Yarrowia lipolytica: one gene and its partners. The protein of the gene in region 1 interacts with the protein of each later gene in a pairwise test. Links are inferred from orthologs where the notes say so. Each region holds a gene or a part of one and is shown in the gene's direction. Other genes may lie near its edges.

Evidence for each region.
Region 2: the proteins of YALI1_A03757g (region 1) and YALI1_F28744g interact in binary tests that used the Saccharomyces cerevisiae proteins (3 or more experiments, as listed by UniProt). The link is inferred for Yarrowia lipolytica from reciprocal best matches to the Saccharomyces cerevisiae genes NOP4 and NUG1.
Region 3: the proteins of YALI1_A03757g (region 1) and YALI1_E02317g interact in binary tests that used the Saccharomyces cerevisiae proteins (3 or more experiments, as listed by UniProt). The link is inferred for Yarrowia lipolytica from reciprocal best matches to the Saccharomyces cerevisiae genes NOP4 and HAS1.
Region 4: the proteins of YALI1_A03757g (region 1) and YALI1_B01698g interact in binary tests that used the Saccharomyces cerevisiae proteins (3 or more experiments, as listed by UniProt). The link is inferred for Yarrowia lipolytica from reciprocal best matches to the Saccharomyces cerevisiae genes NOP4 and NOG1.

Annotation. Positions count from the first base shown.
Region 1 is NC_090770.1:369,631-377,782, reverse strand, and holds YALI1_A03757g (uncharacterized protein), read left to right. Parts: upstream 1-2,072; coding exon 2,073-4,178; downstream 4,179-8,152. Other genes in the region: YALI1_A03763g (uncharacterized protein), read right to left, coding at 178-1,446; YALI1_A03721g (uncharacterized protein), read left to right, coding at 5,666-7,483. UniProt on the Saccharomyces cerevisiae protein: Required for 60S ribosomal subunit synthesis. Probably involved in the processing of 27S rRNA to produce mature 25S rRNA.
Region 2 is NC_090775.1:2,870,212-2,877,690, forward strand, and holds YALI1_F28744g (uncharacterized protein), read left to right. Parts: upstream 1-4,284; coding exon 4,285-5,805; downstream 5,806-7,479. Other genes in the region: YALI1_F28739t (uncharacterized protein), read right to left, coding at 1-3,713; YALI1_F28765g (uncharacterized protein), read left to right, coding at 6,381-7,479. UniProt on the Saccharomyces cerevisiae protein: GTPase required for 60S ribosomal subunit export to the cytoplasm.
Region 3 is NC_090774.1:228,478-236,194, forward strand, and holds YALI1_E02317g (uncharacterized protein), read left to right. Parts: upstream 1-3,281; coding exon 3,282-5,099; downstream 5,100-7,717. Other genes in the region: YALI1_E02287g (uncharacterized protein), read right to left, coding at 1-296; YALI1_E02290g (uncharacterized protein), read left to right, coding at 591-1,787; YALI1_E02305g (uncharacterized protein), read right to left, coding at 1,939-2,029, 2,081-2,226; YALI1_E02348g (uncharacterized protein), read right to left, coding at 5,390-6,394; YALI1_E02355g (uncharacterized protein), read left to right, coding at 7,026-7,717. UniProt on the Saccharomyces cerevisiae protein: ATP-dependent RNA helicase involved in 40S ribosomal subunit biogenesis. Required for the processing and cleavage of 35S pre-rRNA at sites A0, A1, and A2, leading to mature 18S rRNA.
Region 4 is NC_090771.1:165,252-173,174, reverse strand, and holds YALI1_B01698g (uncharacterized protein), read left to right. Parts: upstream 1-3,281; coding exon 3,282-5,207; downstream 5,208-7,923. Other genes in the region: YALI1_B01725g (uncharacterized protein), read left to right, coding at 563-581, 625-887; YALI1_B01719g (uncharacterized protein), read left to right, coding at 1,062-1,138, 1,182-1,362; YALI1_B01711g (uncharacterized protein), read right to left, coding at 1,448-2,011; YALI1_B01644g (uncharacterized protein), read right to left, coding at 7,233-7,923. UniProt on the Saccharomyces cerevisiae protein: Involved in the biogenesis of the 60S ribosomal subunit.

The DNA of each region.
Region 1 (8,152 bases):
CTGGCTATAGACTGAGATGATGGAGCGGTAAGAGAGATTTGTGGTACAGTAGGTGGCCGTAATAACAGTGCTAAGATGTCATTCGCATTACTCGTTGTGTATCAGTGGATGGCAATGTTCATGATCAGTGCCGTAAACAGAAGAAGGCATCATTCGCGTTGCTCATGATGATTGCTTCTACTTATCGGCCTTGTAAGCCCCATCATTCACCGCTCCACTAGTACTGCTCTCCTCTCCAGTCATCCAAGCAGGCATCTTTCTATCATTAATGTCCCCCCTCATGGCCATTCTGTACACACCAGCGTACACATCCGTACCCTCCATCCGTAGCGTCACTTTCCGCGAGTTCCGGGTAATTCTAAACTCCACCATGCTTTGAGGATTCTCCGATCTGTACTGCAGAGGCTCGGTGATCTTTTTTGAGGTGAATTTCGCCGCAATTCTGTTGGCCTTGGAGTTGGCCACTTTGGCAGGCGGCTTTTTGACCATGGCCAGAGGCGACTGGTCGACTTCTCCGGTAGCAAAGACGGACCAGGAGCCCATGGATGCGGCTTTTCGGTTGTCCGAAAGAGTAGTCACCAGGGTATTGAAAGAACGAGTGGGGAGAGCGCTGGAACGGACCAAGGAGATAGGGTCAGCCACAGTAGTGACACTCTGAGTGACAGCATGCAAAACTGTTTGGGCGTAGACGTGATCCATGCTCAGATGAATCACGTGAGGCGAATGGTAGGGAAACACCAGGTACAGGGGCTTCAAACGAGCATCGTCATTGGCAGCGTCATATGGTTTGACACGAACCACAATGACAGGCAGCTCAGGATGACGCATGGCGTGCACGTGGCATCTAAAGGCAGGATAGATTGCCTCACTCATTCGCGTGGCAATGGTGCCAATGCTCAAATCAGGTACCTTCTCTTTACCGACAGAATCTTTCACTGTACTGTAGCTCCAAACCAGCATTTCTGGACGTTCAAAAACGTCTCCCCAAATGTCCAGTTGGGCCAGTTGCAGTAGATTGAGACCGGCATTCCAGTACTTTTGTCCCACGAGCTGCATGTATGCCTTTCGAGACTGCACTCCTTCAGTCAGTTCTTTACGAGCATCGTCCATGATCTTTTCGTACTTGGGACCACCTCGAGCCACAATAACGCCTTCCTCCACTTCATCAATCCCCTCATCGGCCTCAGCGTCGTCCTCGTCGTCTGAGAGCGCGTCCAAGTCGAATAAATAGTCGTCCTGAGAGTTGATGGCCACCAGCGGCAGACAGTCTTTAGACCCCAGCCACAGCTGAGTCAGGTTGTACAGCGTGTTGTGAGAACACTTGTTGAGCGCGTTTCGTCGCAAATTCGTGGTCTGCTTCAGGACCATCTGGTCCCTTAACGTGCCATTGAACTTCATGGTGTATCTTGTGTTGTGTTCGCGTCTCCATCGCATCGCGACCTGCATGCTGGAAGACTATGTCAACATTGGAGATCACGTGATTTCGGGATCCGGGAAAACATCCCCTAGAGAGCTGAGTTTGAAAATACGGTAAGCTAGAGACGGATATCTCGTTGGTTGTAGTGTGTGATTCTCTTCACAAAGGTGATATATATGTTTGTAGCGGTTTTTAGGGCGTGATATCTTGCCTTCTATACACTACATCGTTTTCCGTTATATACTGTCCTGAATTGGAAGTCAATTAGGGGAAAAAGATAGCGTAAGAATCTCCCAGACGAAATCTACATAATGGTTCTCTCAGCTCTGTTCTATGATCACTATGTCTTGTTTCCACACTCCAAAACGCACGATTTCGGTGTGGCTGACTAATCAAGCAAACATACACGCAAGAAAAGTGTCCAAGAGTAGTGAAACGAGCTTCAGGATAAGAACTGTTGATTTTTTAATAAAATTACTTGCAATTTTCTCCCATATTAGATGTTTACTCGTTTACCAATATCACTTCCAAACCGGGGCATCAGTCTTTTTAAGGTTTGGAAGGCAAAAAAAAATATGCATGATATGGAAATTTTCCTGGACCGATTTCGATTTCCATTTACACCCTTTACACCACACAACTACGTTTCAAAAAAATGGTTCGAGACACAAAAGACAAGGTGGACAAGGGCAAGACGGATTTGTTTGTGCGGTCCATCCCTCTGGAGGTGACGAACGAGGAGCTGGCGGACTTTTTCTCACAGGACTTCCCCGTGAAGCATGCCGTGGTGGTGACCAATGCTGCGACCAAGGAGTCCAAGGGGTTCGGGTTTGTGTCTTTCACGACCGAGGAGGATGCTGCGGAGGCGCTGCTCAAGTGCCGAAAGCAGAAGCTCAAGGGCAAGATTCTTCAGATCGAGTTTGCCAAGCCTCGAGAGCGAAAGACCAGAGAGGACCGGCCGTTTGAGAGCAGTGGAGACAACAATACTTCTGTGGAGAAGCGAAAGCCGCGACTAATTGTGCGAAACCTGCCGTGGTCGGTGCGGGAGCCCCAGGATCTGATCAAGGTGTTTTCCAAGTACGGCAAGGTGGTCGATGCGTTTATTCCCCGAGGAGCTGGAGGCAAGATGAGTGGGTTTGGATTTGTGACCATGAGCAAAAAGCAGCATGCTGACAAGGCTGTGGCCGAAAGCAAGGGTCTTGAGATTGACGGGCGAACTGTTACCGTTGACTTTGCCATTCAGAAGGACAAGTGGCTGAAACATAAGGACGGAGAAGAGGTCGAGGACGAGGAGTATGACGACGACGAGGACGAGGTCAAGGACGAGGTCAAGGACGAGGACGTGGATACTGAGGTCAAGGATGAGGTCAAGGAGGAAGATCTCGATCTGGATGAGTCCAATGCCGATGTTGCCGAGGGTGACGATGATGACGAAGACGAGATTGAGGTGGATGAGGAGGAGGAAGAGGAGGAGGATGATACTCCCAAGGTCAAGGCCCAATCCAACTCCTCGACCGTTTTTGTGCGAAACATTCCTTACGATGCCACAGCAGAGTCCCTCAAGGAGCACTTTGAGAACTTTGGTGCTGTTCGATACGCTCTTCCTGTCATTGACAAGACCACGGGCCAGCCCCGAGGAACTGCCTTTGTTGCGTTCGAATCATCCGACGACTGCGACAAGTGTGTTGAGCGAGCTCCTGCTGCAGCCACCACTTCTCTGCTTGTTGCTGATGATACCGACCCTCGGTACGTGTTTGAGGGCCGAATTCTGGCCGTCACTCAGGCTGTCCAGCGAGAAACCGCCAACAAGCTGTCTGAACACAATTCGAAAAAGCGAGCCGAGGCTCTGGGTAAGCTGCCCAAGGAGAAAGATCGACGAAACGTCTTCCTGATCAACGAGGGTCGAATCGGCGAGAACACTGCTCTGGGTATGACTCTGCCCAAGGCCGACATGGAGCTGCGACAAAAGTCATACGACCAGCGAAAGAAACAGCTGAACGGCAACCCCAGTCTGCACGTGTCCCTGACTCGTCTGGCTCTGCGAAACCTGCCCCGAGCTCTCAACGCGAAGGGTCTTAAGGCTCTGGGTCGAAAGGCCGTGGTGCAATTTGCCACTGAAGCCAAGGAGGGTGCTCGACAGCCTCTGTCCAAGGAGGAGGCTATTCGGTCGACCAAGGCTCGAACCGAAGAGGCTGCCAAGTCCAAGCATGGAGTGGTCCGACAGGCAAAGGTGATTATGGAGCAGAAGGAGAGCGGAGAGCTGGGCCGATCTCGAGGATATGGTTTCCTGGAGTTCCGAGACCACAAGGCTGCTCTCATGGCGCTGCGATGGCTGAACGCTCACGAGGTGTCTACTGAGGAGGTTCTTGAGGGCTACGAGGAGAACGAGCGAAAACACGTTGATCTTACTGGTTCTTCGCGACGTCACCTGGTGGCTGAGTTTGCAATTGAGAACGCACAGGTTGTCAAGCGACGAAAGGAGACTATGGCTCGAATCAACATGCAGAAGAAGCGACATCGGGACGACGAGGGAGGAGCGGACGAGGGTTCTTCCGAACACAAGCGACCCCGACGAGAGGGAGACCGAAGAGACCGAGGAGACCGAAGAGACCGAGGAGATCGAAAAGACCGAAAGGGTGACCGAAAGGGCAAGGGGGGAGACAAGAAGGATGAGTCTCGACAGCCTGAAAAGGACAAGAACCTGGAGCTCGGAAAGCTCATTGGACAGAAGCGAATGCGAAAGAAGAAGGGAGGAAAGTAAGCGTTCCTTCAAGTTTGAAGGAAACAAACAGTGTTGTTGATAGACTAATTAACACCGTAGAGCAGTGGAGTATGGGCTCGCTGCTTCTGCATTAGTATGATAATATAGAAAATGAATGCCTAAAGTCTATGAACGAGTAGGGTGACAGAGAACTAGAGATGCAACAAAAGTACATTATGCACAGTATATACTGTAGTACAGTACATACAGTAGTATGTCTCGCTCCAAGGGGCAAAAAGAAAAGCCCGACGTGGGGCTTGAACCCACAGCCTTGAGATATTCTCAAATCTGAAATACAATGGACTAAGAGTCTCACGCTCTACCGATTGAGCTAGCCAGGCGGTGAAAAAGTGCGAAACTTTGGTCAAGGGTATCGAAAAGGTGTTTAGTCAGCGGGGGAAAAGGAGGAGAACGCAAAAATGCGAGAACACGATGGTTATGTGCTTTTCTGAACACCCTAACCCGGGTCCTATGTGCGGGTATAGCATATAGGCTTCAAGTAGCTGAAATGTATTTCCCTAGAATAAAAAAAATGGCCAAGAAGCTCTAGACTCAAGGACTGAAGCGAAATTGCTCATTCGCGATCCATTCACTAGTGTAAAGTCATTCTCACGGCGCGATCGATGGGCCGAGTTTCGGGGTATGAGTTGTCGTGAGTAATATAGTTAGAAATTAGAATAACAGCTTAGATCCATCAATTAAATTCAACAAAGTTACTTATATTTCTCAGGTAAAAATAGTTTTTACAATCAACGTGTCTCTGGGCAAAGATGGCCAGAAAGAGCGGACTATTCACGTCGTAAAGCCATTCCATCGATTACCGACAGTGATCATCACCCAGATGCCAGATACTCTACATTTTTCGACCCCGCTGTCATAGCTCCTTTGTAAGGGTGACTTTAGCGGAGATTAAATGCTATAAAATGACAGTGGCAATGATAAGGAGTGTAGGGCTGCTGGAGCAAAGGGATGTATATAGTGGTATCAGATAGAGTCTTCCAGAGCAGTGGAATTCACTTGTTTGATCCAGATGTCAAAATCAGGCGAGTGAAGTCGACAGTGTACGCAATTACTACTTCAGCAGTCAGCAACGACGATGTGTATTATAGAGAGTGCTGATTGTAGTCACAGTGCGCAGAACCAATACTCTGGAGGGATCCAAAGGGCCAGTTACAAAACAGCACCCAGTGTATATCCAATCAGGCTATTCGTGGCCTCGATATTATTATCGCTTAGATCTCGTCTAGAGCGTTTCCCCCCCCCCCCCCCCCCCCCCCCCCCGGTGGGTCGAATTCTTTTTTGTTCTTTTTTTATTCTGTTTTAGTTCTATCGACAGGTCAAAATTACATGTTGGGACGGATGAGGATAACGAACTCTATCGAATAGAGTTGATTAGGGGTGCACTCGGTGACGCTAAGAGAAGTGGTAAACAGGACCCAGGTTCAAGCCGCCACAATAACACCACCACCACCGCCACAACAACCACCATGTCTCTGTTTTCGGCGGCCACTACAGCCGTGGAGCGAACGGGCTATGGCTCGCGCTACGACCACATTTTCGACATGTTCCATCCCATAGACGGCCGGATTCCCGCAGTTTGCTACAAGCGGCTTTTGGAGACCATCAACGTTTCGGGCGAAGACAAGGACCGGCTGGCGACGCTGGCAGGATCGATTCTGGAGGGCGGCGACGGCAGCGGAGGCATTCTCACATCGTCCTTCACTCGCGAGTCGTGGCGAGCAGCCCTGTTGCTGGCCAATGTGGCGCAGGATGGCCTGCCGTTCGACGACCCATCGCAGCTCGTCAACGTGGACACTCTGACGCCAATGGACTTTTCCGAGGAGGGCGAGCGGTCTAGCATCAACTTTAGCGCCTCGACAACCGGTAGATCACAGACGCCACTGTTTGGAGATGATCTCGACGACCATAGCATCCAGAGCAGCAGAAGTGAGAGCATCATCCACAACAACGGACACAGCAGGGGCCACAGTGCTCTGGACTGGAACCCGGAGGAACAGGAGGCTCTACAACAGTCACAGCTGTCGCAATCGCAGCTGTCCCGCTCTACAACCCCACCTCCTCTCAACCCCCAGGCCCTGGTTCCCGAGTCCGAGTCTGGAGTATGGACTGCCCCTCCACGACCCGATTTCGCACCCAACAAGGCCGACTCAGTGACACTGGCTATTGTGCCCGAACGCGAGGGCATGTTTTTGTTCCGTCACGTCAACTACTCAATCTCTTCAGTGTCGGGAACAGACCGCATCACGGTCATCCGACGGTACTCGGACTTTTCCTGGCTGCAAGACTATCTTCTGAAGAAGTACTGTTTTCGACAGGTGCCACTTTTGCCGCCCAAGCGACTGGCTGTCAACGGTCATTATCTGTCCTCCGACAACTACTTTTTGGAACGTCGACGACGAGGTCTGACTCGGTTCATTAACCAAGTTCTTCGGCACCCCGTGCTGGGCCAGGATGAGGCAGTGCGAACTTTTGTCACCCTGCGAAACGATATCAGCGGCTGGAAAAAGAGTGTGTTCAACACCGCCCGAGAAGAGTTCAACGGACGAACGATTGATCCAAAGTTTGTGCAACAGTGGGATGAGCAGCAGGCGACTGCTCTATGGGCCGGTCTCATTGTTGAGCTGGACAGATCGCACGACTCCGTGGTTCAGCTGTGTGTTCTTCTGGACCGAGTGGCTAAACGACAAGAGGCCCAGGCTGTTGACAGCGCCAAAATCGCATACAACCTTGGCGCAGCTCTTCCTCCCTCCGCCCGCGTGCTCTACTCTGTCGCCGATGACGGGTGCGTCCAGCAGATCACTCGGGGTCTCAGTCGGGCTTCGGCACGCATTGAAACCGACTGCCAGCTTCAGCAGGACGAGGCACGAGGTTCGCAGGTGGGAGTGCTTGAAGAGGCCAAAAAGTACCGGGAGGCGCTGGGCTCGATGCGGGAACTGTTTGACCGGTTGGAAAAGTACGGAGGCAACAACATCCCGCTGCTGGAGAAGCGGATCCAGCAGAACCAGGGCCGTGTGACTCTGGCCCGGCAGAGAAAGGCGCTCATGTCGGAGATTGAGAAGCTGGACCGCGCCATCAAGATGGACACCGAGATGATTGCGGCCCACAAGAACCGAACGTGGCTGATCAGGGAGTGCATTACGGAGGAGATTGGCCTGTTCCAGAAGACGCAGTTGCAGATATCCAAGCTGCTGCAGGAGTTTTGCGTGGACAAGATCAAGTACGCTGAGCTGTATTCGGACAACTGGGGAGGGCTGGATAATGATGTTATGGATTTGCCAGTCTAACCGTATATGACCATCTACTGGAGAGCGTAAGCAAGATGAGAGCATGATATTCAGGGGAACCGTACGTACTAAAGCAGAGTACCTACCATTTGCTATAGCTATTTACATCTATTTTATTTTAATATGACTATTGGGTGTTTTCAGATCTGGCTATCACCAAATATTGGACGGTGGCACAAGTATCGTACATGGCAGCAAAACAATGCGACCAGAAGGACAGCGTATTGTTGAATAATAACCGCGAAAAATAGTTGACCACGCTGATTATTATATCATGTGACTCTTTTCGGATGTAATCAAACAGTCGCTATGGTGACATCGGTTGGTACGATAGCCATACGGCGGCATCCAAAGAGCTAGAATTGCCGAGGTTTTTTTGATGTATTCAATTACGTAATACTGTACTTTGACAGTCACGTGACGTAGTTGAGCTGCCTATCTGATGAGTAATAAGATAGTTGTAAGATACTGTACTCATACATTAGTCAACATTACGTCCTGAGTTGACATGTCGGACCCCTCTGAATGTGCGTATAATATCTTTGGATATTTTGGTGGGGTATGTGCAGTAATTGGAAGCCAATTTGTTGGGGAGTTTGGGTGATAATACTGGTGTTTGAGGGTAGATTGGTGGTTATTTTTGGAGAAAAAATCATACGGATGGATAGC
Region 2 (7,479 bases), on another chromosome or scaffold:
TGATGTTTCCGGGGGGCGTCACTGTTCACATGCCCTGGGAAAGAGGGGAGTACTCCACATTTCGACTCGGTAAAGATCCAGTCCTTTAGAGAGTCCACTGACGGAATCTTCATCCTGGTCAACATGGAAAGAAGAACTTCGCACTTGCAGAAGATATGCTCGTGCAGATCCTGAATGATGGCCTTATCACAGAGCCCGCATCCTGGATTCTTCTTGGTGAAAACGTGGTCGTCAGGGTATCTCCATTTCACGAGCGGAAGTCGAGATATCCGCATGAGGTGAAGAACTTGTGCTTTGTTGGCGTCGGCGATGTAGTGTTTTCGAAGGTCATGCATTACCTCCTGCCAGACCATGTCGTCAGAGATGCCCCCGTAGTCGCTTCGTTGAGTCCACTTCTTCGGTCGTGCAAGTGTGTGTGGGAAGTTTGGCAAGTCGGGAGACGAGGTCTTGTGAAACATGAAGTTCTCTAGAGTAAGTGGTCCCATGCTCCACCGGAGGTGGTCGATTTCCGCTGTGGACACCATTCTGACCGGATGGTATCGTCTCGCGGCTGCGATGTCGACGTGTGCTTCCCGGAAAGATTCTGCTGCTCTCACGTTCACCTGGTTTCGTTCCCAGATTCTGTGATTAACTGTGTCTGTTGTAGAGGGCTCGTGATCTTCTCGAGGGTTGGCATGTTCCGCGGTGAGGGGCTTGTTGAGCTCGAAAGAAGCTCTGATTGCGTCTCGCATGGTGGGGGAGGCTGCGTAGCCCCAAGCTTGGCCTGTCGGAAAGCGGCAGTCGACGCGCTGGTGTGGCTTTTCCTGTGTGAGACTGTGAGTTCTGCTGTAGAACTGGAAGGTGCAGTCCCAAAGGGCCGGCGATGAGCCATGGAAGAACCTGTAAGCCCGAGCGGCCTTCAGGCACACCATGAAACGTCCCATGTCCCGCAGGTTCAGTCCTCCTCTGCCTACCGGAGTTTGGATGAAACCATTGCTGAAGGTTTTGCGTGTTTTGTCGGGTGATAATTTGTTGATCTTGTCGCACGCTAGTTCGTTCAGCTCTCGGATGAAGGTGTTGTCGATCTGGCTGACGTAGGGTCCAAGGAAATTCAGTTTCGAGAAGAAGTAGATGTTGATCATCCACGCCTTGCTGTAATAGGGGAGACCCCATAGTGAAAGGCGTCGCAGCGACTCCTTGAGGTCCTCCTTGATCTGAGCGTAGTGCGTGTCCAACCTTTCGCGATTTCCGAAGTGTACTCCGAGGTACCGGAAAATGTTGTCAGATGTCCGGAGCGTCGGGGCCTGTCGTGTGTTGTTGTCGGTTGGCCAGGTGGCGTCAATTGTTCGCTGCCATTCTGCGTCAATAAAGGTTAGTGGAACAAAACAATCGGGGGGGCCGATCTTCTGAAGCACCGTCTTTGACGGGTTTAGTGTGAGGCCTGAGACCCGTTGGAAGAGGCAGAGCACTCTACCAACCGTGGCCACGTCCTGGATGTTGTTGAGGAACACCGCTATGTCGTCCGCGAAAGCCGACACCTTCATGTGTCCAGCTGCCACTGCCTCCGGGTGAGTAGGGGGTTGTGGCGGCCTGTGCCCAGTGGTGTGGTGGTGGGATAGTGGCAGGCCTGGGGCCAGTCCAAACATCTCTCGGTCCAGACGACGCACAAGTGCGTCTACTGCGATGATGAAGAGGGTTGGAGAGAGAGGGCATCCTTGTCTCACTCCGATCTTGATGCGGACTGGGCGAGATAGGACACCTCTGATGTTGATTCTCGTTACTGCGTTCTGTTGTACAGCTAGGATACGGTTGATCATCAGTTCCGAGACACCCACATTTCGAAGCGTCTTTATCACCCAACTCTGGCTGATAGTGTCGTAGGCTTTCCGGAAGTCCAGTGATCCTACGACCCAACCCATGTTCAGCTGGGAGTAGGCGTTGCAAAAATGATCCATGGTGTCGAGATTGTTAGTGATGTGTCGACCCGGTACGAAACCGTTTTGGGCGCCGTGAATGCTGTCCGGAAGAATGTTCTGGATGGCTTTGTTAATGAGCTGTGTGTAGATCTTCACCTCTGTGTTGATCAAAGAAATAGGCCTGTAGTTGGAGATGTCGGCCTGATCTCCCGACTTGTACAGTAGTTTGATGATAGCGGTGTTGCGTTCGGTGCTGATGGGCGAGTCGGCTCCAGCTTCGTTGTAGACGTCCGTCATCAAGTCCCCCAGCTCATCCCAGCAGTCGCGGTAGAACCTGTACGGGATGCCGTCTGGCCCTGGCGCGCTGTTGTGCGTAGACGCCTTGATGGTATCGAAGATCTCCTCCTTGGTAAAAGACGAGTCCAGGCTTGGGTTAGCTGTATTCACCCTCCGGGTTTCTTCGGGGAAGAGGTCTAAAAAGGCGCTGTCGTCGGTGTCGTTGATATCGGCAGCTCTGTCGAAGATGTTGTCAAAGTATCGAGCTGAGATGTCGCAGAGAGAGGAGGTGTCGGTCTTCACTCGGCCTTGGTGGTTCCGTAGGGAGTGGATCTCCATCTGTTGCTTGGATTGTTCGACCCGAGCATGGAGCATCGGGTATGGCTCGTTAGCTGGGTAGGCTTGCCAGTCTGAGGCTGTTGCCATGAGGGCCTCGCGGCGTCTGTTGTCTGGGTGGTTGGAATCTCGAAGTGCGCGGTTTTTGGCTTCCTGTTGGATGGTGACCTTAATGTTTTCTTTCAGGCATTGCAGCTTCAGGCTGGGCTTCAAAGGACCATATCGCTTCAGAATGGATTTGACGTGGAACTTGAGCCAAGCAATGTACTCTGTATCAAAAACCCACCAGGGCATCCTCCAGGTGCCTGGGCCTCTGTCTTGTCGCTGGGTGAGGTTGCCAAAGTTAAAGACGAATTGGACCGCGTGGTGAGAGGACTTCGTGATGTTGTGACCCTGCTTGTTGGTTACCAGTTGTGTGGATTTGATCCACTGTGAGAGTGTCGAAGAGATGTGCAGCTGATCCAGGCGCCTGCCAGCTCCGCGGCTGTTGTTGGTGTGAGTGTAGAGGCCTTTTCTGTGTTTGCTGATTAGAGTGTAGGTGTCTAGTAAGTCCCAGTTAGCTAAGAAGTCCTTAAGGTGAGTCGTCACTTTTTCGCCAATCCTGCCGTCGTTGGAGGCGACCGCGTTCCAATCGCCTGCCGCTATCAGGGGGTATTGGCAGGGATGGAGGCGTAGATAGTCGTCTAGTGACTGGTAGAACTGCCGGTTAGTGAAGGGGGAGGCTCCCTGCTCGTTTGGTGCGTATACGTTGATCAGCGATAGGTGTCTGTCGGTGCCTTTGATGTGCACGTCGGCCAAACACAGTCTGTTGTCTAGGGCTGGGAAGTATTCAAAAACTGTTGTAAAGTTTGTGATGGTGACGTTGTCGGAATAGACTAGCCCCACGCCGACGCTTCTATTAGAAACACCAGCTGTGGAGCCGAGGAGGGTGTAGTGTCTGCCCCCCGGGTAGGGCGAGTTTGAAATGATTTGTTGAGCGGTTTGTAGGGAGGAGTCCACCCAGTTCGTCTCTTGAAGAAGGACGAGATCGGGGTAGTGAGTAGTTCGAATAATGTTTACAATGGTGTCGGGTAATCGGTTAAGCGCTTCCGCCATCTTAAAACCGCCGATGTTAGCCGTGATGACTTTAACATTCGGAGATTTCATTTTGGCCTGGGTGCTCTTACATGGGGCTTTAGAAGGGGTGGTAGTAGAGGTGAAAGACATGCTTACTGGTTCTGCCCCGGTCGGAGCATTGTGTCCACCTCATGGAGAGTGGTCACCCTAGGGGGGTTCGGGGGACTGTTCGGGGGTTCTACAATCTCGTCTACCGAGCTGAGTGTCGCACCGTCGTGGAAAACTTTGAAGTGGCATGTAGACAGGAATGTCGGGCACCTCCCGTCAATGATGAACTGTGTGTTAGGCCGGTGGGAGAGACACTACAGTATGTATTAGAGAGATGCAGGTATATTGTTCAACTAAAGATGTAACAACAACGTAACTATAATTCCACCCAATAGACAGCATGGAGGTTAGAGCTCGCGTAACACCCTATCTTACCGAAGATGTAGATATACTGGGAGAAAAGTGAAATTGACAATCGCTTTCAAATAAGCCAATAAACCAGTTCCACTATTTAAGCAAACCTCTTTCCTTATGTTTACACCCCAAGCCTATCTTGCCACTCACAAGTTGCCTCCCACAACACTGCACCTTGGACGATAAGGTTTTGAAGTTTGAATTTTTTTTGAAAATATATTCAGCGTGCATTTGAGAACCACTCCACACACAGTACACAATGCCCAAACCAAAGGCCCCCACATCCAAGCGAACCTCTACTCGACTGAGAGAGGGTATCAAGAAGAAGGCTGCCGCCCATGGTCGAAAACAGCGAAAGCTCGCCAAGAAGGACGTGACCTGGAAGTCCAAAAACAAGAAGGATCTCGGTATCCCCAACTCCTTCCCCTACAAGGAGCAGCTTTTGCAGCAGCTGGACGCACAGAAACAGGCCGAGGTGGCCGAGAAGGAGCGAAAGAAGGAGGAAGCTCGACAGGCCCGAGCTGAGGCCCGGTCTCGAGGCGAGGACGTGCCTGATGAGGAGGAATTTGAGGACAACCCCATGGCTGCTCTGTTGGCCAGTGCACGGGCTGCTGCCGAGGAGTACGATGGCAGTGATGACGAGGACGAAGAGATGGAGAGCGAGGTTACGGAGCTGGATGTCAAGGTCAACCCTGGTGATGATGTGTTTAACGAGTCTTCGCGAAAGGCCTTCGACAAGATCTTCAAGACCGTTGTGGACCAGGCTGATGTCATTCTCTACGTTCTGGACTCTCGAGATCCCGAGGGAACCCGGTCTCGAGCTGTCGAATCTGCCATTCTGTCCAATCCCGACAAGCGACTTATTTTCATTCTTAACAAGGTTGATCTGATCCCTGCCGAGAACCTGCAGAACTGGGTCAACACTCTGCGACTCACCTTCCCCACTTTGCCCCTGCGAGCTGCCAACTCCGGTCCCGTGACCGGCCGACAGCTCTGCAACAAAAACGTGACCCAGCAGTCCACCTCCACCGCTCTGCTGGACGCCCTCAAAAAGTACGCTAAGGACTCGCAGCTTAAGCGGTCTGTCATTGTCGGAGTCATTGGCTACCCTAACGTTGGAAAGTCATCCATCATCAACGCTCTCACCAAGATCCATGGAGGAGGACGAGCCTGTCCCGTCGGAGCCCAAGCCGGTGTCACCACCGCTCTTCGAGAGGTCAAGATCGACAACAAGCTCAAGATTCTCGACTCTCCGGGTATCGTTTTCCCCTCCGAGAAGGCCAACAAGGTGCAGGAGCAGGCCCGTCTCGTGCTCTTGAACGCAATTCCTGCTAAGCAGATGGTCGACCAGGTTCCCGCTGTCCAACTGCTGCTCAAGCGACTCACCAACGACGAGTCTCTGTTGCAGCAGTTCATGGAGCACTACTCTATCCCCCCTCTGTCGCACGCCAACTTCAAGGACTTCACCACAAACGTGCTAATTCACGTGGCTCGAAAGACTGGCCGACTCGGCAAGGGAGGAATCCCCAACCTCGAGGCTGCCTCCAAGAACATCATCAACGACTGGAGAGACGGGCGAATTCTCGGATGGACCCAGGCTCCCGAGTACACTGAGGCCCTTGCCGACGAGGAGAACCGACCTGGTATCTCGTCATCCAAGTCCCTCAAGGCTCCCGCCAAGCAGCAGGACACCAAGACTGTGGTCCAGGAGTGGGCCAAGGAGTTTGATCTCGGCGGTCTGTGGACCCCAGGAGAGGATGACGAGGACGTGGACATGTAGGAGTGCAAAACGGAAAGTACACATGATATGTAATAGGTTATAGTATAGAGCATTATTTGGTATTTCAGAGTGTGTAGGAGAGGGGTACAACCAACTACGACGTAGTTCGGATGAGATCAGGAAGTGGACAAGTTTAGCAGTCACTTCTAAACCAAGCATATGGGGGCGATTTGAAGGTCGTGTGTCCATGCACTTTTAGCCATCATACTTGTGCTTCTCTCGTCTAATGTTGATCCATCATAGCAATCCCTTTTCTGACCAAACTAAGTTATTATTGTTTCCCGATTTGGACAGTGATGAAGGAGTCACAAGACCGTTACAGCAGTGTTTTTTTGGCGGCTGTAGTGGAAGTGAGCAGGATATCAACATATTAATCAAATCAAAGACTATATATGACTGTTCTGGTACCTTTAACGTCTTCACACGACCTACACCGACTATGTACCACCACCCGTCCGCTCTTATAAGAACGTCCACTTTGGGACATCGGATATGCATACGCGTCTAACCACCGCCATTTAGTATTTTCGACAGTGACGCGACCAGCTAGACATCCAAGAGACAAAATTACGATAATGAGTGAACTGGAGCAGATTCGTCTGGCCAACATTGAGCGAAACAAAGCACTGTTGGCGGCTCTGAATCTTCCCACAGAGGCCAAAAAGGAGAGCGTGGACCCTGAGGTTGCGCCGAAGAAGAGTAGGAAACGAAACTCAGCTCGACTTGAGTCGCCTGACGATGGATCTGACGATTCCGCGCCCAGAACTCGACGAAAATCGCGTCGGCTGCAGGGTCTGGATCCCGAGGCAAACGCACTGAAGCAGGAGGACCTGGGAGGCAGCGGTGAGCTCAAGCGACTGATGCAACAGCTCAATGGAGGAGTCAAGAAGGAGCGACTGTCTGGAGATCTGAGTCTCAAGGAGATGCTAACTAAGACTGGACTCGACGAAAAGGAGTGGAGTGCGTCGCTGGGCCAGCTGTTTGGAGACGGATCGAGGGTCAGTCAGGGAGATTTCTTTGATGAGATTGTCAAGAAGGAAGAAGAGGATACTAAGGACATTGACATCAAGCAGAGCAGAGACAACTTGAGCGGTCTGCAGCTCGGAAAAATGTCCAAAGTAACTAAAGAGCGAATCTACATCACTGCTGTGCATCCTGGTACAGATAAACGGATTGTTTTGGCCGGAGACAAGATTGGAGTGTTGGGTATTTGGGATGTTGATTCCGATAACGAGCCCCTACAGTTGCAATTGCACCACGCTACCATTCCTGCTCTTTGTTTCGATCAAAATTCCAACGATATTTTGTATTCCGCTTCCTATGACGGTTCTGTGAGAAGTCTGGAGCTGAAAACAGGCAAGAGTGGAGACGTTTTGGACTTGGAGGCCAAGAAGAACGCCAGTGTCGGTGTTTCGGACGTGGCAAATCACTCCCAACCTCATCTTCTTTATGCCTCTACTCTTTGCGGTCACCTGATTCGAAAAGATCTACGAACGAAATCAACTGAATATGAGACTCTGATTCTCGGAGAAAAGAAAATTGGTGGCTTCTCGGTGGACCCCATCAACACTCATTTGCTTGCGACCGGATCGCTGGATAGATCGATGCGAATATGGGACCTGAGAGCAACTGAAACTGCCAGAACCATTCCTGGGGGAGAAGTCATCGACACAC
Region 3 (7,717 bases), on another chromosome or scaffold:
TTTTTGGAAACCAACCGTTTAACAGCAGATATTTGCTCGCCACGGGTCATTTTTTCAGTCCGGCTCTCCTTGTACGAGTCTTTGCTCAGTCCCAGAGACTCATCATTGATCACCTCCACTGTCAGATTCGACCCTGTCTCCTGGATCTTCTTCTCGAAGTAGTCCTTTATTTGCATGGCTCGGGTTGTCTTACCCGCGGAAGGGTATCCTGTGATCAAGAGAAGAGGCATGTCGCAAGTTGACGTGTGTGATAATTGTGTGGAGAAGTGTGTGTGAGAGAAGATGCTCTTGAGCATTTGATTTTTTAGAGTTCCTTTCCACTGATTGATGTGAAATGGGGAGGCGTTATATTGGGCCTAGTAATCGATGATTTGAGTCAAATTTCGAGTTAAGAAACTAAAGCAGAAAACAAATACTACTTTAATATTGTCTTCTTTCTTTCAAAATCTCTATAAAATCTGTTATGTGCACATTTTGTCATCTCTCCGATATACTGTACAAGCTCTTCGCCAACTTTAATGAATTTTATGTGCATCTGATGCAGACTTTCAAGCATCGGTGTACGCCACTACCACATTACACATATCACCATGAGGGAATACCAAGTCAATATGGCTGCGAGTATTTGCCGTTGCGGCGCGGAATTACTCACCAGAAGAGGCATCCGAATGCTATCTACCTCGACAGTGGCTACACAGAGCAGATCAGGAAGCCCAACAGACACCCAAAAGCGACCAAACAAGATATCGCAAGAGAAACAGGACAAACCCAAGTCGCTATTTGTCCCTAGAACATCTTTCGACCCAGTTCAAGTTTCAACTTCAAACTTTACACATTTCCACAAAGAGTTCCTCAAGAAGGGCATGTCCATGCATCCTCATCTCACTCTGGAGTTGAGAGACGCTAGGGCACCACTGAGCACAGGAAACGTGCTCCTTTCCAACTCGTTTTCGTCAGCAATTGGATCAAACAGACTCTATCTGTATTCCAAGAGTGACGCCTCCCTTCTGGATGATGAGACTCTCAAACAATGGCACCCTCAGGGCAATTATCTCCAGATTGATTGCCGATCTAGACAAGCAGCAGTCAAAATCATGAAGTACGCAGCCACAGTGTTCCAGAAAATCGACCCTCCACCGCCAGTGGGGTTCAATATGTTGATTTGTGGCATGCCTAATGTGGGAAAGAGTACTCTGGTGAACACTATGAGACGGTTGGTGGTAGAAAAGACAAATGATTGGAAGATGCAGGGGAAGAAGCGATCTGTGGCCCCCGTTGGACAGCAGGCGGGCGTCACCAGAGCTCTGTCTAACCGAATCAAGGTATGCGACAGCCCTAACATCTTTGTGTTTGATTCCCCAGGTCTGTTCATGCCAAGTATTGCCAACAGTGAGACTATGATCAAGCTCGCCCTTCTCAAGTGCATCAAGGAGAGTCTTGTTGATCCTATCGTTCAGGCTGACTACCTCTTGTACGCACTCAACAGAGATGATCCCAAGAGTTACCGTGATCTGTGTCCTCCCACCAACGATATCAACGATATTCTTGTTGCACTGCGGCGCAAGTGGCGGTCAACTCCTAACCAGGACGCTGGAACTGCTCTGCGGTGGATCAACGAGTGGGTCAGCGGAAAAAAAGGTAAGGTCATGCTCGACGCAGCTACTCCTGAGGCGTTTGACACGTACAATCAGAAGGAAAGTGAACGAATGCGAGCGTGGATGGTCAAGTTCCAACAACGAGGCAAGGAGAAGGGTGGAAACCGAGCCAGTAAAATCTTCCGCGCATAAAGGTCCTACAGACTACTTAAAACCAAAGTGTATATAGTACCATAAGTAATTATTATTTGTATATATATTAACATGGATGCTTGGGTGTGCTTTTCCGACACTGTATAAATATGGGGTGGGTTGACTGTGTTGAGACGCGTAATAGCTTTAGTTACTCCTCATACTCAGACTCCATCATCTTTTCCTCTGCCTGGCCAGCCTGAAACGTCTCATTTTCGAAAGCGGCATGTGCTGACATGAATCTCGTGGTTAGCATTGGCTTGTGGGCTCCTTCATATGTCTCAAATACTCACATTGACGCGTGAAGAATGCCGAGTTCTCTGATGTGCAATGCTTGTTCTGTGGTCCGTTCCATGAGGTTGCTCATGTCAACCAGATTAGCCTCAAGCTGCGCGAGCTGCGACTTGAGCTGGGTCATTTGACGGTCTCTTGTTGTCATGGCTGAAGTTGTGTGCGAGGCGTGTTTGAAGGCGAGTCTCAGAATGTTTAAAACGGTGTTTAGATGAACGTTCATGCATGAATGCTGCATAGTGGAGGCCATACGAACAGAGAGAGTAGTTGAGGTGATCTGTCACCAAATCCTGTCAAATGGTAATCACGGGCCGAAAATTATAAAGTGTACCGGACTAGAAACTCCCTCAACCACTCCCGTGACCTCAACCATACCAATAGATCCTCGTTCAACGTACCTTATCGAACTGTAATCAAGGGTAAGGGTAACATAACTACAGCAACAATGCGTGGCAAATGTGTGGGGATCCTTGTCAACCGTCTAAACCGTCTTCGACATTTCACAATCATCTCTAGCAGCTCTTGTCACACTCTTCGAAAGACAAAGCTGATCTAGGGACATTCAAACATAAAGTGCTTTCCAACTTCCATCCCAAAATGAGCCTCCAGCAGTTGGGCTATACTCCTCGAGGCAACAAGACGTTCCAGACCCAGGCAGAGGTCAATGAATACCTTGACAACCACGCCGCTTCTTCTCTGGTAAAGATTGAGGGTCTCGACGGTCTGTACATTGTCGATGACAACAATACTGTCCATGGCTCTCTTGGACTCAACCTGGCCAAAGAGTATGCTGGAGCCAAGTTTGAGCTCAAGTCCAGTCCTATCATTGAGAAGTCTTCCGATCTCGGGCTTGATACTCCTCTTGATTAGGGGATTGTGTGGTGCCACAGCTAACTATATGACGACTAGCGAAGCATACTACAGTATGTACACCTACGATCAATGGTGATTTGAGTCCTACACAACTGAGTAGGACACTTGTACGTTTTATATAGATTCGAATCTCAATATTTTGAATTGGACTGTTATTCACTAATAGGCGAGTTTTGTTCGTAATGCTATGAGTACTGTAGTGCTGCATGTACATTGCCACCATACAACACATGTTATGAGCAGATAAGGTTACAGTTTTACAGTTCGAAATTTTTCTCGATATTGCATGAAAGGCGTAAAAAATTGGAACACACTCCTAATTGCACAATCATGGGTCTGACCAAGAAGGAAAAAGTCGAAAAGAAAGCCCGAAGCGTGGTGAAGGGCAAGGCCGATAAGAAGGCCAAGGTCGAGAAGCCCTCGTCCAAGCCCGCCAAGTCCGCCAAGCCCTCCAAGTCCAAGGACGAGGTTGATGAGCTCGATGATGAGTTCGATGAGGTTGAGGGTCTCCTTGAGAAGGGAGACGTTGAGGAGGAAGACGAGGAGGAGACCAACGGAAATGAGGACTCCGAGATGAGCGATGACGATGAAAAGGACGTCGAAATCGAGGAGGAAGATGACGGAGAGGGCTCTGATCTCGAGGAAGAGGAGTCCACTGCCGTTGTCACTACTGCGCCCGCTGACGCTGAGGTTGTCCACATTGCCTCAGACGCCGAGCGAAAGCCATTCAGCACAATTCCTCTGTCTGAGAACACCATGCAGAGTCTGAAGGACATGGGATTTGAGACCATGACTCCAGTCCAGGAGAAGACCATCCCTCCTCTGCTTGCTGGCCGAGATGTTTTGGGAGCTGCCAAGACCGGATCCGGTAAGACTCTGGCATTCCTGATTCCCGCCATCGAGATGCTGCGGAAACTCAAGTTCAAGCCTCGAAACGGTACTGGTGTGATTGTGGTGTCTCCCACCCGAGAGCTGGCCCTCCAGATCTACGGAGTGGCTCGAGATCTCATGGCTAACCACTCCCAGACCCTTGGCATTGTGATTGGTGGAAATAACCGACGACAGGAGGAAGAGAAGCTCAACAAGGGAGTCAACCTGCTGGTGTGTACCCCCGGTCGACTTCTCGATCATCTGCAGAACTCCCAGGGCTTTGTCTTCAAGAACCTCAAGGCTCTTATTATCGATGAGGCCGACCGAATTCTCGAGATCGGTTTCGAGCAAGAAATGAAGGAGATTATCAAGATTCTCCCCAAGGAGCGACAGTCCATGCTCTTCTCAGCCACACAGACCACCAAGGTCGAGGATCTGGCCCGAATTTCGCTCAAGAAGGGTCCCCTCTACCTTAACGTCGACGAACACAACGTCAGCTCCACCGCCGAGGGTCTCGAGCAGGGCTACGTTGTGTGCGATTCTGACAAGCGGTTCCTGCTGCTGTTCTCCTTCCTGAAGCGAAACGCAGGCAAGAAGATCATTGTCTTCCTTTCGTCTTGTAACTCGGTCAAGTTCTACGGAGAGCTGCTCAACTACATCGATCTGCCCGTTCTCGATCTGCACGGCAAGCAGAAGCAGCAGAAACGAACCAACACTTTCTTCGAGTTCATTAACGCCAAGCAGGGAGTTCTAATCTGCACTGATGTGGCTGCACGAGGTCTGGATATTCCCAAGGTTGACTGGATTATCCAGTTCGATCCTCCGGATGATCCCCGAGACTACATTCACCGAGTCGGACGAACTGCCCGAGGTTCTGCCTCCGGAAAGTCCATCATGTTCCTGACCCCCTCCGAGCTTGGCTTCCTGCGATACCTCAAGGCTGCCAAGGTGCCTCTCAACGAGTACGAGTTCCCCAACAAGAAGATTGCCAACGTGCAGAGCCAGCTGGAGAAGCTCATCTCGTCCAACTACTGGCTCAACACCTCTGCCAAGGACGGATATCGAGCCTATCTGCAAGCATACGCCTCGCACCACCTCAAGACCGTCTACCAGATCGACAAGCTCGATCTGGTCAAGGTGGCCAAGTCCTTCGGTTTCAATGTGCCTCCCAAGGTGAACATTTCCATTGGAGCTTCCGGTAAGGGCGCCAAGAGCATCAAGGGTAAGGACAACCACAAGAAGAGAGGTGGACCCGGCGGAAAGAAGTTCACACGGTAGATTGCATAATAGATAGTGGATAAGGAAAGTAATAAAACGACATTAGAACGAATTATGAGTGGTGCATGGCAATAGAAGTATATCTGTACAATTCAAATACGCTTAGCTGAGAATTACTTGTCAGTACTGGTTCCAGTATTTGTAAGGAGTACCTGTACATTAGTATGTATACATACTTAGATATACCAATGCATTGATGTTAGTGTTTAATATGAGATCTCAAATGTTCGGTTGGCCAGCCCGATGATGCGTGTAGCCGTATTATGCGATTATAATTGTCCTTCAAGGTCCTAAACCGCTGCCATTTCCCGTCCGTCACCCTCCAGCCACCTGGCTGGAATGCGCTCAAGGAACTTCTGTCCGTAAGCATTGGAAAAGTAGTCTTCTGCAGCAGGTACGACTGGAAAGGGAAGGAACCAAATGAGTGGGTTGGTTCCAAAAACCTGTCTCCAGTTCTTTGCAAAGCCTTGGTCGAACGGCAGCGGGTCCTCTTCTCGCAGAGGTTGGATGATTCTCTTGCCTTCATATCTGAAGTTGACTAGAACCATGTCTCCCTGTTTTCTTCCGAGACCCTCCATGGCGGTAAGGTTCCGACACACTCCCCAGAAGCTCTGGAGACACACAGAGGTGCAGAATGCGGCCCAGGCACCTGTGAGAATCAGAAGAGCTATGATGTTTCCGTTAGGAATAGAGTCAGGCGCGCCCCTGTCGCGTCTGTATTGGCCCATTCTAGGGGTGAAAACAGCTGTCGTCACCAATGTGTAGATCAAGTATGTCGAGAACAAGGTCGTGTACTGTAGGAAGATCTTGTAGTTGTGTTGTCCGATCACTGTGCCCACCCAGAAACACATGTGGTCCATCTTGGGGACACAGTGTCCCACAATAGCCGAGTGGTGTGTTCGGTCCGGTTTGTGTGTCTGGCATTCTGAGCACCATTTGGGCATTCCCCAACCATCGCAGATGTAAGTATCTGGCAGCTTGGGGTTGATCTGCCTTGATACTATAGCCTGAGCCTTTTCGTCCACCACTTCTGATCCTGGAATGAAAATTTGCAAAGGTGACACTCCAGTCACCTTTCCAGGGCCAACAATGACGACGGCGGCCCAGTAGATGAAAACCAGTGTCTTGAGAATGCAATAGACAATCAGGAGAGCCAGCCCTGCCCGGTAGCCCATGTGGTGGTAGAGGTTCCAGCAGAGAATGTAGCAATATGCGTAGGTGCCATATCCCAGGAGTCCGAGAATTACGCCTGGGAAAACGATTCGCAGTGCCTGTCTGAACGCTGCTCTGTTCATTTCATGGTCAAGTGTGCTGGATAAGATGATGAGAATGTAGACAAGGTTCCTGGTGTAAACAACTCTATTGCCAACTGAACACGGGAGCAACCGCACCTTAGGAAGGTCGTACTTGCGGGGTATGAGTGATGTGAGCGGGGTTTTACCAAGTCAGATTCTGAGAACCCACCGGCAAGCCTTTTTGGAAGAATCTGGACAACTCCAAGGAGATTACAGACTGAGTGGCAATTCACCTTTGTAGAGAGACTTCCATGAGCTACCCCTATAGCTACTTAGAGATCGCTGAGTCTTATTTTGAAAGACTTACGGTTGAGACGTGGTAATGAGGCGTTTTAGCCAAAAAGATTTTACCAGAATGACACACAATATCGCATGAGTGATTTTTCAAACTAATCATCATACGAGTAGATACAGTACACACTGTCGTACTGTACGTACCTATAACACATTCCATCTTCAAGCTGCATGTTCTCAGCGTTTATGCATCTGGTTTAGAGCTCAGCGGTTGTCAGGCTAAACTCCCAAATCAAGTTGGGTTTGCTTGCAGCTCATCCAGGTGCTCTTTGGAGCTTATTAGACGGTCAACTTGGCACGATATCATCATCACACCTCCACCACAACAGCTATCAATATGAGTGAAGATGGGGATATATGCCCGATCTGCAAATCCTCGCGGTACCTCAACCCGGATATGAAATTTCTAGTCAATCCTCAATGTTACCACAAAATGTGCGAATCGTGTGTGGATCGACTTTTTGCCTACGGCCCAGTGACATGCCCTCACAATGGCTGCGAAAAGATTTTGCGAAAGAACAAGTTCAAGACCCAGATCTTCGAGGATGTGGCTGTCGAGAAGGAGGTCGATGTACGCCAACGGGTCATGTCGGTCATGAACAAACGAGAAGACGAGTTCGACACGCTGAACGACTACAACGCATATCTGGAAAAGATTGAAGACAGCATCTTCACGCTGTTGAATGGAACCGCTGACGAAAAGGACGCATTGACCAAGGAGATAGAAGCATACGAAAAGGAACATAAGGCCGAGATCATTGCCAACAACAAGCTCCGAGACGAGGAGGACAAGTATGAGCAGCAGAAGGAGGACTGGATGAAGGAACAGAGAAAGGCAAACTACCTCATGGCTGTGGAGGAACAAAGGGCAGCTCAGGAGGATAAGGAGGCTGCCAAGCGAGAACTGGTTCATCAGCTCGCCACTTCCAACAAGGATGCCTCTTCCATCGAGCAGAATGTCCAGAAGACAGCTCTCAAACGATCCTCAGCTCGAACAGTCAACTTCCAACCCATGCCTACATCTCGGTA
Region 4 (7,923 bases), on another chromosome or scaffold:
TTTAACATGACATTTCTCAACTACTGACGACTTTCCAACTTCATGTTACTTTTCAATCTGAAGTTTCATCGTCTCGCTGTGCATCCGGTCACCCTACTGAAGGTCGTATGAATATCATTGATACTTAGTGTAGGAAGCACATAGGACGTTTGGGGAGTTGACTGACGTGTTTCAACCACTCATTGGATGCCCCCAGAAACTTGAAACTATACATTTGAGTGTTTATAATGGAATCTGTAGCATTTTTAGTACATCCTGGTCCTGATTTGATGACTCCGACATATATACTGGCGTTAACAACGAGGGATAATAGCAATGGAATAACCATGACAACAAAGGGCGGATGTTTGGTGGTATAGCACCATGGAAATACTCCAGGAATACATATCTTCTACTACAAGATGCGCATTTGGCAATTGTGAAGACACCTACATACTGTCGAGCTAACCCATGATGTGTAACGACTTTAGAAATCGATACAGACAAGCTAGAGACACGGGGACTTCGAAATTGCCTCATTCCGGAGTCTACATTTCCAATTCCGCTTCAATCAGCTCTCGAAATGCTGAAAATGAAAAAATGTGGCTGTTCCGGATGATATACCGTAAAGTCTATGCGCCAAAGTGCGCCTTACGGACCCCTTAGCCCTGTCACGGGACTATGATACTACAATAAGACAGCTTTATAAGCATCTAACCGTAAGACCCACTTTCAACATTCATAGAGCAGACCTCCTCGATCTTGGTGTACTTCCATATTTTCAATTTAGTAGCCCTGGGTTAAGGAAATACATTGTGGAGATCGGTCGGGCTCCAGCTGTCGAATGGCACCACTCATTAGTCTGTAGCAGATATACTTTCAATGCCTGGCTGGGTATTACCACGTAACCATCATCAAAATATCATTTTTATGCTTGTCTCATCTCATGGCAAAATGATGCAATAAGTTATCTCGATATACCGTACACGTATAAAGAGGCTGTCGGGGTCTCGTGAGACTGGGTGACGCGGGTCCCAGGTTCTGTTTAGGGCACGATCGTCTCAGAGTTTCAAAACTGCGGAATGTGTGAAGCGTCTCTGCACCAACTCTTTCTTATACTTGTGGGGCTCTCCGCTTCAGGGGACTCGTTTGATGTTGTGTATATGAGTGGCCGAATGATTGGGTAGGGTGGTGGGCGGTAGAGAAGAGACCTTGACAGAGACCTTGACAGAGACCTTGACAGAGACCTTGACAGAGACCTTGACAAGAGACCTTGACAGAGACCTTGAGCGGGGGAAAAAAACCGTTAGAAAAACGAGGAGAAGAGGCCTTGAGCGTGGAACAAACGTGAAGGAAAACGTTGGGAAATGGAGAAATGGGTAACCACCAGTATCCTGAGTCGAGTGTCTATCTGTCAACAGTCGGATAAGACCCAAGCGGTTGTTGTGTTTCGTCCACATCCCACCATCTATTCCTCATAACCAGGAGGAGCCTCGTACTGTGGCAAATCCGGCTCGATGCCGTCTCGCGCCACCGAAACCTGTCTCTGGACTCTCTCCCTGAACGCTGTGTGTTTCTCCGCCAGAACCTTTTGGAACTCAATGGCACCACCCTCGCGAAAGTACAGATCGGCTCGCCACGTGGTTCCGTCCCGTCTCAGCCCGGGAACCAGATGCAGGCCTCTCTCGGCCTTGGGAATCGCCACAAACGAAATGTCCACCGAGTTGGGGCCAAACCACGGCTGAGTCAGCTGCACCTTGAGAATGTTGGTCATGGGAATTTCCAGCGAGGCGAAATTGACACAGTCCAGCTTGAACGCGACCACGTGAGGCAGCTGGGGCGCGTTGTCCGAGTCCGACTGCACAATGACCCGAGTGGCGTCAATCAGAACTGTCACTCCAGTCGCCTCGTATCGCACCGGAGATCGGCCCTCATCATAGGGCTTGGAGGTTTCGGTGAGTACCAGTTGCACGCTTTTGGCGCAGAGCTGCATGCCCGACGTTGATGTTGAGTTGGTGCTGTTGAGTGACATGTGGGTTGTGAGAAGTGTTGCTGGTACCGTTCTGTTGTGGTACAGTTCTGGAGATGCTGTCAAGTCCGGTGATGCGAGTCTAAGTTCAGGTGCGGTGTTTCTGCCATGATAGTGGGGATTCCTTTGGGGGTCATTTGGGGGTCGTTTGGGGAGTTGGCGTGGTCAGAAGGAGGATGTGGACGGTTGTTGTGAGACTTACAGAATCGATATCTAGAGGTTTCCTTTTTTCCAGATTTTATTTGATTAAATATAATTTAGAATAATCTAATCGTTTGAATTTATCAGAAACTTACATTTCAGGAAATTCAGTAAAAATAGCAATTTCAGAAGAAGAGAATAAATTCAGAAAAATGACAAGAAAAATGAAAACTTCAGAACATTTCCTTGCAAATTATAGAGACGTGTACAAATATATATTGTGCGCTATTCAACGGCCATATAATGAACCTCGCTCTACCCAAACCACCCAAATAGCTTGAATTTCTCCGAAATTTCGAATTTACTCAAAAAAAAAAAAAAAAAAAAAAAAAAAAAAAAAAAAAACCAACCTCAATTACTCAATTACTCAATAACTCCTCGATAACTCTTCCAAAACAATAAAAATAGTCGGAAAAAAACGCCAGTTGATTCGCCACATCGCACAGACTCCTCCACTCTCAGTACAGTCGCCCTTCTCCTCTTTTCTGGGCCGCCTGGAAGACATTGCCATCGATCCGATAAGCTTATTTTGACCAGAAAAATGGAGAGTTTGGGTGGTGAATTAGAAAGGCAAAAAGGTGGATCTATGGAGATGATTGAGACTGTTAGATGGGGAATAAATTGGGGGAATATTATAATATGGATTTTTCAATAACAAAAACTATACCATTTATATTTCTCCTATTTTTCTTTCATTTTTTTCCATTTTTTCCGACAAAATTTACACACAGCCCATGGGAGTTTAGTTAGGCTAATATAGTGCCTGCCTTACAAAAAAAAACTCGGTCTCAATCTGTAGTGTTGTTTTCCAGCGCCAAAAAAATCAACATACAATGACTAATTCAGACCAATCTCGATCACATGACTCCTCATCCCGATATTACGGGTATTCATACTCGTACCCGTACTCATTTTATAGTCATTGCCACCTCACGTGACCATAATAACCTCTGCATATCCCAAAACGTTAACCTTAAAAGTTTTATGCAGCTGCGTCAGCTCCCAAAAAAAAAATCCTCCACTTTCTACACACGCAACACACTCTACTGTTTTCAACTTTCAACGAGGAAAAATGCAACTAACGTGGAAAGATATTCCGACGATTCCGAACCAGAGCGAGTTTCTGGACATTGTGCTGAACCGGACGCAGCGAAAGACGCCCACGGTAATTCGAGCCGGGTTCAAAATCTCGCGAATCCGGGCGTTTTACATGCGAAAAGTGCGATTCACAGCGGACGGATTTGTGGAGAAGCTCAACGAGATTGTCACGTCGTTCCCCAACATTAACGAAATCCACCCGTTCCATCGAGACCTGCTCGATACCCTGTACGAGAAGAACCACTACAAGGTGTCTCTGGCATCCCTGTCCCGAGCCAAGTCGCTCATCGATCAGGTGTCACGTGATTACGTGCGTCTGCTCAAGTTTGGTCAGTCTCTTTTCCAGTGCAAGCAGCTCAAGCGGGCTGCTCTTGGTCGTATGGCCACCATTATGAAGCGGCTTAAGGACCCTCTTGTCTATCTTGAGCAAGTTCGGCAGCATCTTGGTCGATTGCCCTCCATCGATCCCAACACTCGAACCCTGCTCATCTGTGGCTATCCCAATGTTGGCAAGTCTTCGTTCCTCAAGTCTGTGACTCGAGCCGAGGTCGAGGTCCAGCCCTATGCGTTTACCACCAAGTCTCTGTATGTCGGCCATTTCGACTACAAGTATCTGCGGTTCCAGGCGATTGACACTCCCGGTATTCTGGACCGTCCCACCGAGGAGATGAACAACATTGAAATGCAGTCCATCTACGCCATTGCCCACATTCGGTCGTGTGTGCTGTATTTCATGGACGTTTCCGAGCAGTGTGGCTTTTCTGTGGCCGAGCAGGTCAAGCTGTTCCATTCCATCAAGCCGCTGTTTGCCAACAAGCAGGTGATTGTGGTCATCAACAAGATTGACGTCAAGCGACCGGAGGATCTGGATGAGGAGAACCAGGAGCTTCTCAAGGGCATTGCTGCCCAGCCCGACGTGGAGATTATGCAGCTGTCGTGCCATGCCGAGGAGGGTCTTATGGAGGTGCGAAACCGGGCGTGCGAGAAGCTGTTGGCGGCTCGAGTGGAGCAGAAGCTGCGTCATGTCAAGGGTGGCGCCTCTTCGGATCTGCTCAACCAGGTCCATATTGCCCAGCCCGTCAAGCGAGACGACATTGAGCGGCCCTCGGCTGTGCCTGAGGCGGTCCAGTTCCTGCAAAAGTACGACAAGAACGACCCCAACAGACGAAAGCTGATGCGGGACATTCAGGACGAAAATGGAGGCGCTGGAGTCTTTTCCATTGACATGTCCAAGGATTATCTGCTGGAGGACGAGGCCTGGAAGAAGGACATTATGCCCGAGCTGCTCAACGGCCGAAATGTCTACGATTTCATCGACCCCGATATCGCCTCGAAGCTCCAGGCGCTGGAGGACGAGGAGGAGAAACTCGAGCAGGAGGGCTTCTACGACTCGGAGGAGGAAATTGAGGACGACGAGGCCGAGGATATCCACGAGCAGGCCCAGTGGCTGCGAAACAAGATCAAAATGATGCGAAACACGGCCCGGTCCAAGAAGTCACTCAAAAACAAGGCCGCCATCCCCAGAACAAAGACCAAAAAGTCGCTGGGAGACATGGAGGAGCATCTGGAGCGAGTGGGCTTCGATTCGTCTAAGGTGGTGGACCGAGCCAACGCCCTGGCCGAAGCCAAGGCCTCCGACGACGTGTCTGGCCACCAGACCTTCCTCAACGAGGCCGTCTCCACCCAGGAAATGTCCCTCATGCCCCTGGGCCAGTCCAACCGACGAGACGATGGTATTGTCACCACCGTGCGATCCAAGGCCGACCGAATGGCCAAGCACTCCCAGCGAAAGGGTAACATGAAGGCCCGACGAGGAGAGGCCGATCGACATATTGCCGAGACCAAGCCCAAGCATTTGTTTTCCGGAAAGAGAACTGTTGGATCGAATGATTGGAGATAGACAAAGTTTGAGGACGTAGTCCGAAACCGAGTCGGATTCAAGACATGGACGGTATTGATTACGGTATTGATTTGGTCGGCTCAGTGTCTCCAACCAACCTGGTTGGGTACTCACTTGGTCGTCACCTGGATTAGATAGATGGATCACGGAAAAGTTTTATATTAATAGATTGAGCATTGATTGAATAGGCGAGTTGAGTGACGAGAGTCGGTCTGGTCAGCTGTAACGATTGTAGCTCTGACATTGTAGCATTGTAGCGATGACAGTTCGCGGATCACGTGATGTGGTCGCCGAGTCACGTGACGCGGTCGTCAAGTCACCAGTTCGGATCGTATCATACATACAAGCCAGTACAGTCAAAAAAATCATGTGGAACTAGAACGGATACTCTTTCGGACATTCATGCCGATGGAACCCCTAAGCTCACTGAGTCATTCTGGAGACAATACCGGAGACCTCGTCAAGTTGTAGGCACTTGCCCAAGAAGCAGATTGCTGCTGAAGGTTGTAACAGTTCCAGTTGACATTGAACGGGGGAAGTGGATCTGGTTTCTCACGGAGGTCTGGTACTTTCAGCTGAGAAAGTGACGGAAACTCCAATGTTTGGATCACGTGCTCTCAAACCAGCAGAGACTGGACTCTCCCGGCTGTTCAACGCCTTATCATTACATGTACTAATGTCTGAGTGCTCCATGACCAGCTTTCTGAGAACACCAGCGTTTCTGAATGTCTCGAAAGATCTGGACCCAACTCCAAACAGCGCTGACAACGTCTCCAAAAGTTCTATACTGGCTATGAAGAACTGGTCACGTGACCAAGTCAAAGTCGTTACCCTTTGTTGTTCCAGATACGGCTCCCAAAACCCCCTTCCAGTCTCCCAAAATTCCCTGCCCTTCCTTCCTTCCTCCCTTTCTCAGTCACATGATTGGAGTATCCACACGTGATTAGATCATCTGCACGTGATTAGAGCATCTGCAAGTGATTATAGTCGCTTGACCACATTGCGTGACCGCTTCTCTTCTCAAGCTTGCCATGTCTTCCGGTGTGAGCACACTTCTATCTGTCCTATTTTCTAATTGTACCCAATTTTGTCAGAATTAGTACCAAATTAATCATCGAAACGACACGGTTTTAGTAAACTACTTTTTATCCCTCCAGTGCTGGTATTACAAAAGTTGGAGACACAAACGCTCGTCGGCCAGATTAAAGTGGAATGTCCGTGAAAATTCTGAAAATTGTACTGAAGCCTGAATGGGGTGTCAGAAGGGTTCCAAACGGTTCCAAGGTGTTCCAAAGTGTTCCAAAGCCTTTTTTTCAGGCGATTATTGTGGTTTTATTCTGCTTTTATGTCTTTCGGGGTCGTTTATTAAATCCCAATGTTCATATACATTGTCTGTTTAGGTGCCATATACAGAAGCCTTTCTTCTGCACAAGACTGCTCATTTGTGACGGTTACATAATCAGAACATTAGTAAAAATTATATCGTTGAAGAGCTCTTGTTCAGGTGAACACAATTGTTTTGTTGTTAACCGTCGATAGGTTTATTATTGGCTGGGTTGTGCACTTCTTTTCAGGGGACGGACCGTATGTAGCTCTGGAAGAATGAAGTCACCTCCAAGTCAATGAATCTCATGCAGACAGAACCAAAGTATCATAGTGTCGTCACGTGAGACGCGGAAGTTGGACACGTGACCAACTACTCGATCTTGTGCTCCGGTCACGTGAAAACTGAACACGTGGACAACTATGCCAGTCATATGACAACATGCACACACCCTCCACTACTCGTACAGAACCAGAATAAATTATTGTATTTCATTAGACCGATGCAGACCGTTGTTAGACGACATACGGTGGAGGTCCCGTGGCATATCGAAGCAGTGTAGAGAGATGACTGAAGTTCACAGGTCGACTCCTCTGGTGAACGGACCACGAGCGGACCCATCGGACTTTGTCGTTGGTGTGGAACGGAATAGATTCGGGTCTGGATTTTCTCCATATCAACTCCCACCCTGCCGAGCTCGGCTAAAACAAATCATCCAAATCCATATCGTCGTCACTGCCCACACCCTTGTCCTTGACCTCGCCCTTTTCCACCTTGTCCTCACTCTCCTCCTTCTCCTCCTTCTTTTCCTTCTTATCGATCTCCTTCTTCTTCTCCTTGATGGTATTCTTTGCCTTGAGCTGTTTCTTCTTGACCTCCAGCTCATGTTTGAGCTTGGAGATTCGCTGGTTGAACCGCTCCTTGAGCATGGCGTTGGCGGTGCGGTCGGCGTCGTCCTGCTGCTTTTTGATGGTCGCCTCCAGATCTGCAATCGTGTCGACCAGCACCTTGGCGTGTCCTCCCTCTTCACCGTCGTCGTCATCGTCCATTCCGGCCGACGCTCGGGGCAATTCCTCTTCGTCCGAGTTGTCCGACTCACCTGCGCCTTCTCCCTCATCTTCGGACTCGGACGCATCATCGGCCTCGATTTCTTCGCCCTCATCCGAGCCTTGGTCCTCCAGGGCCCGCTCCAGCTCTTTATCGAGCAAATCCACGTCCATTTCTCCCTCGTCGACCATGGCAAACCGCGGAGGAGGAGTGGCGGCGGCAGAAACAGTGGTAGACACAGATTGCGAGCCCGCAACCCCACCGGCTCCATACAAGGACGCCAGGGTGCGTCCATCGACAAGCTCATATGATGTGGAGTCTGCCTCGTCGTCCAGATCCAGCAAG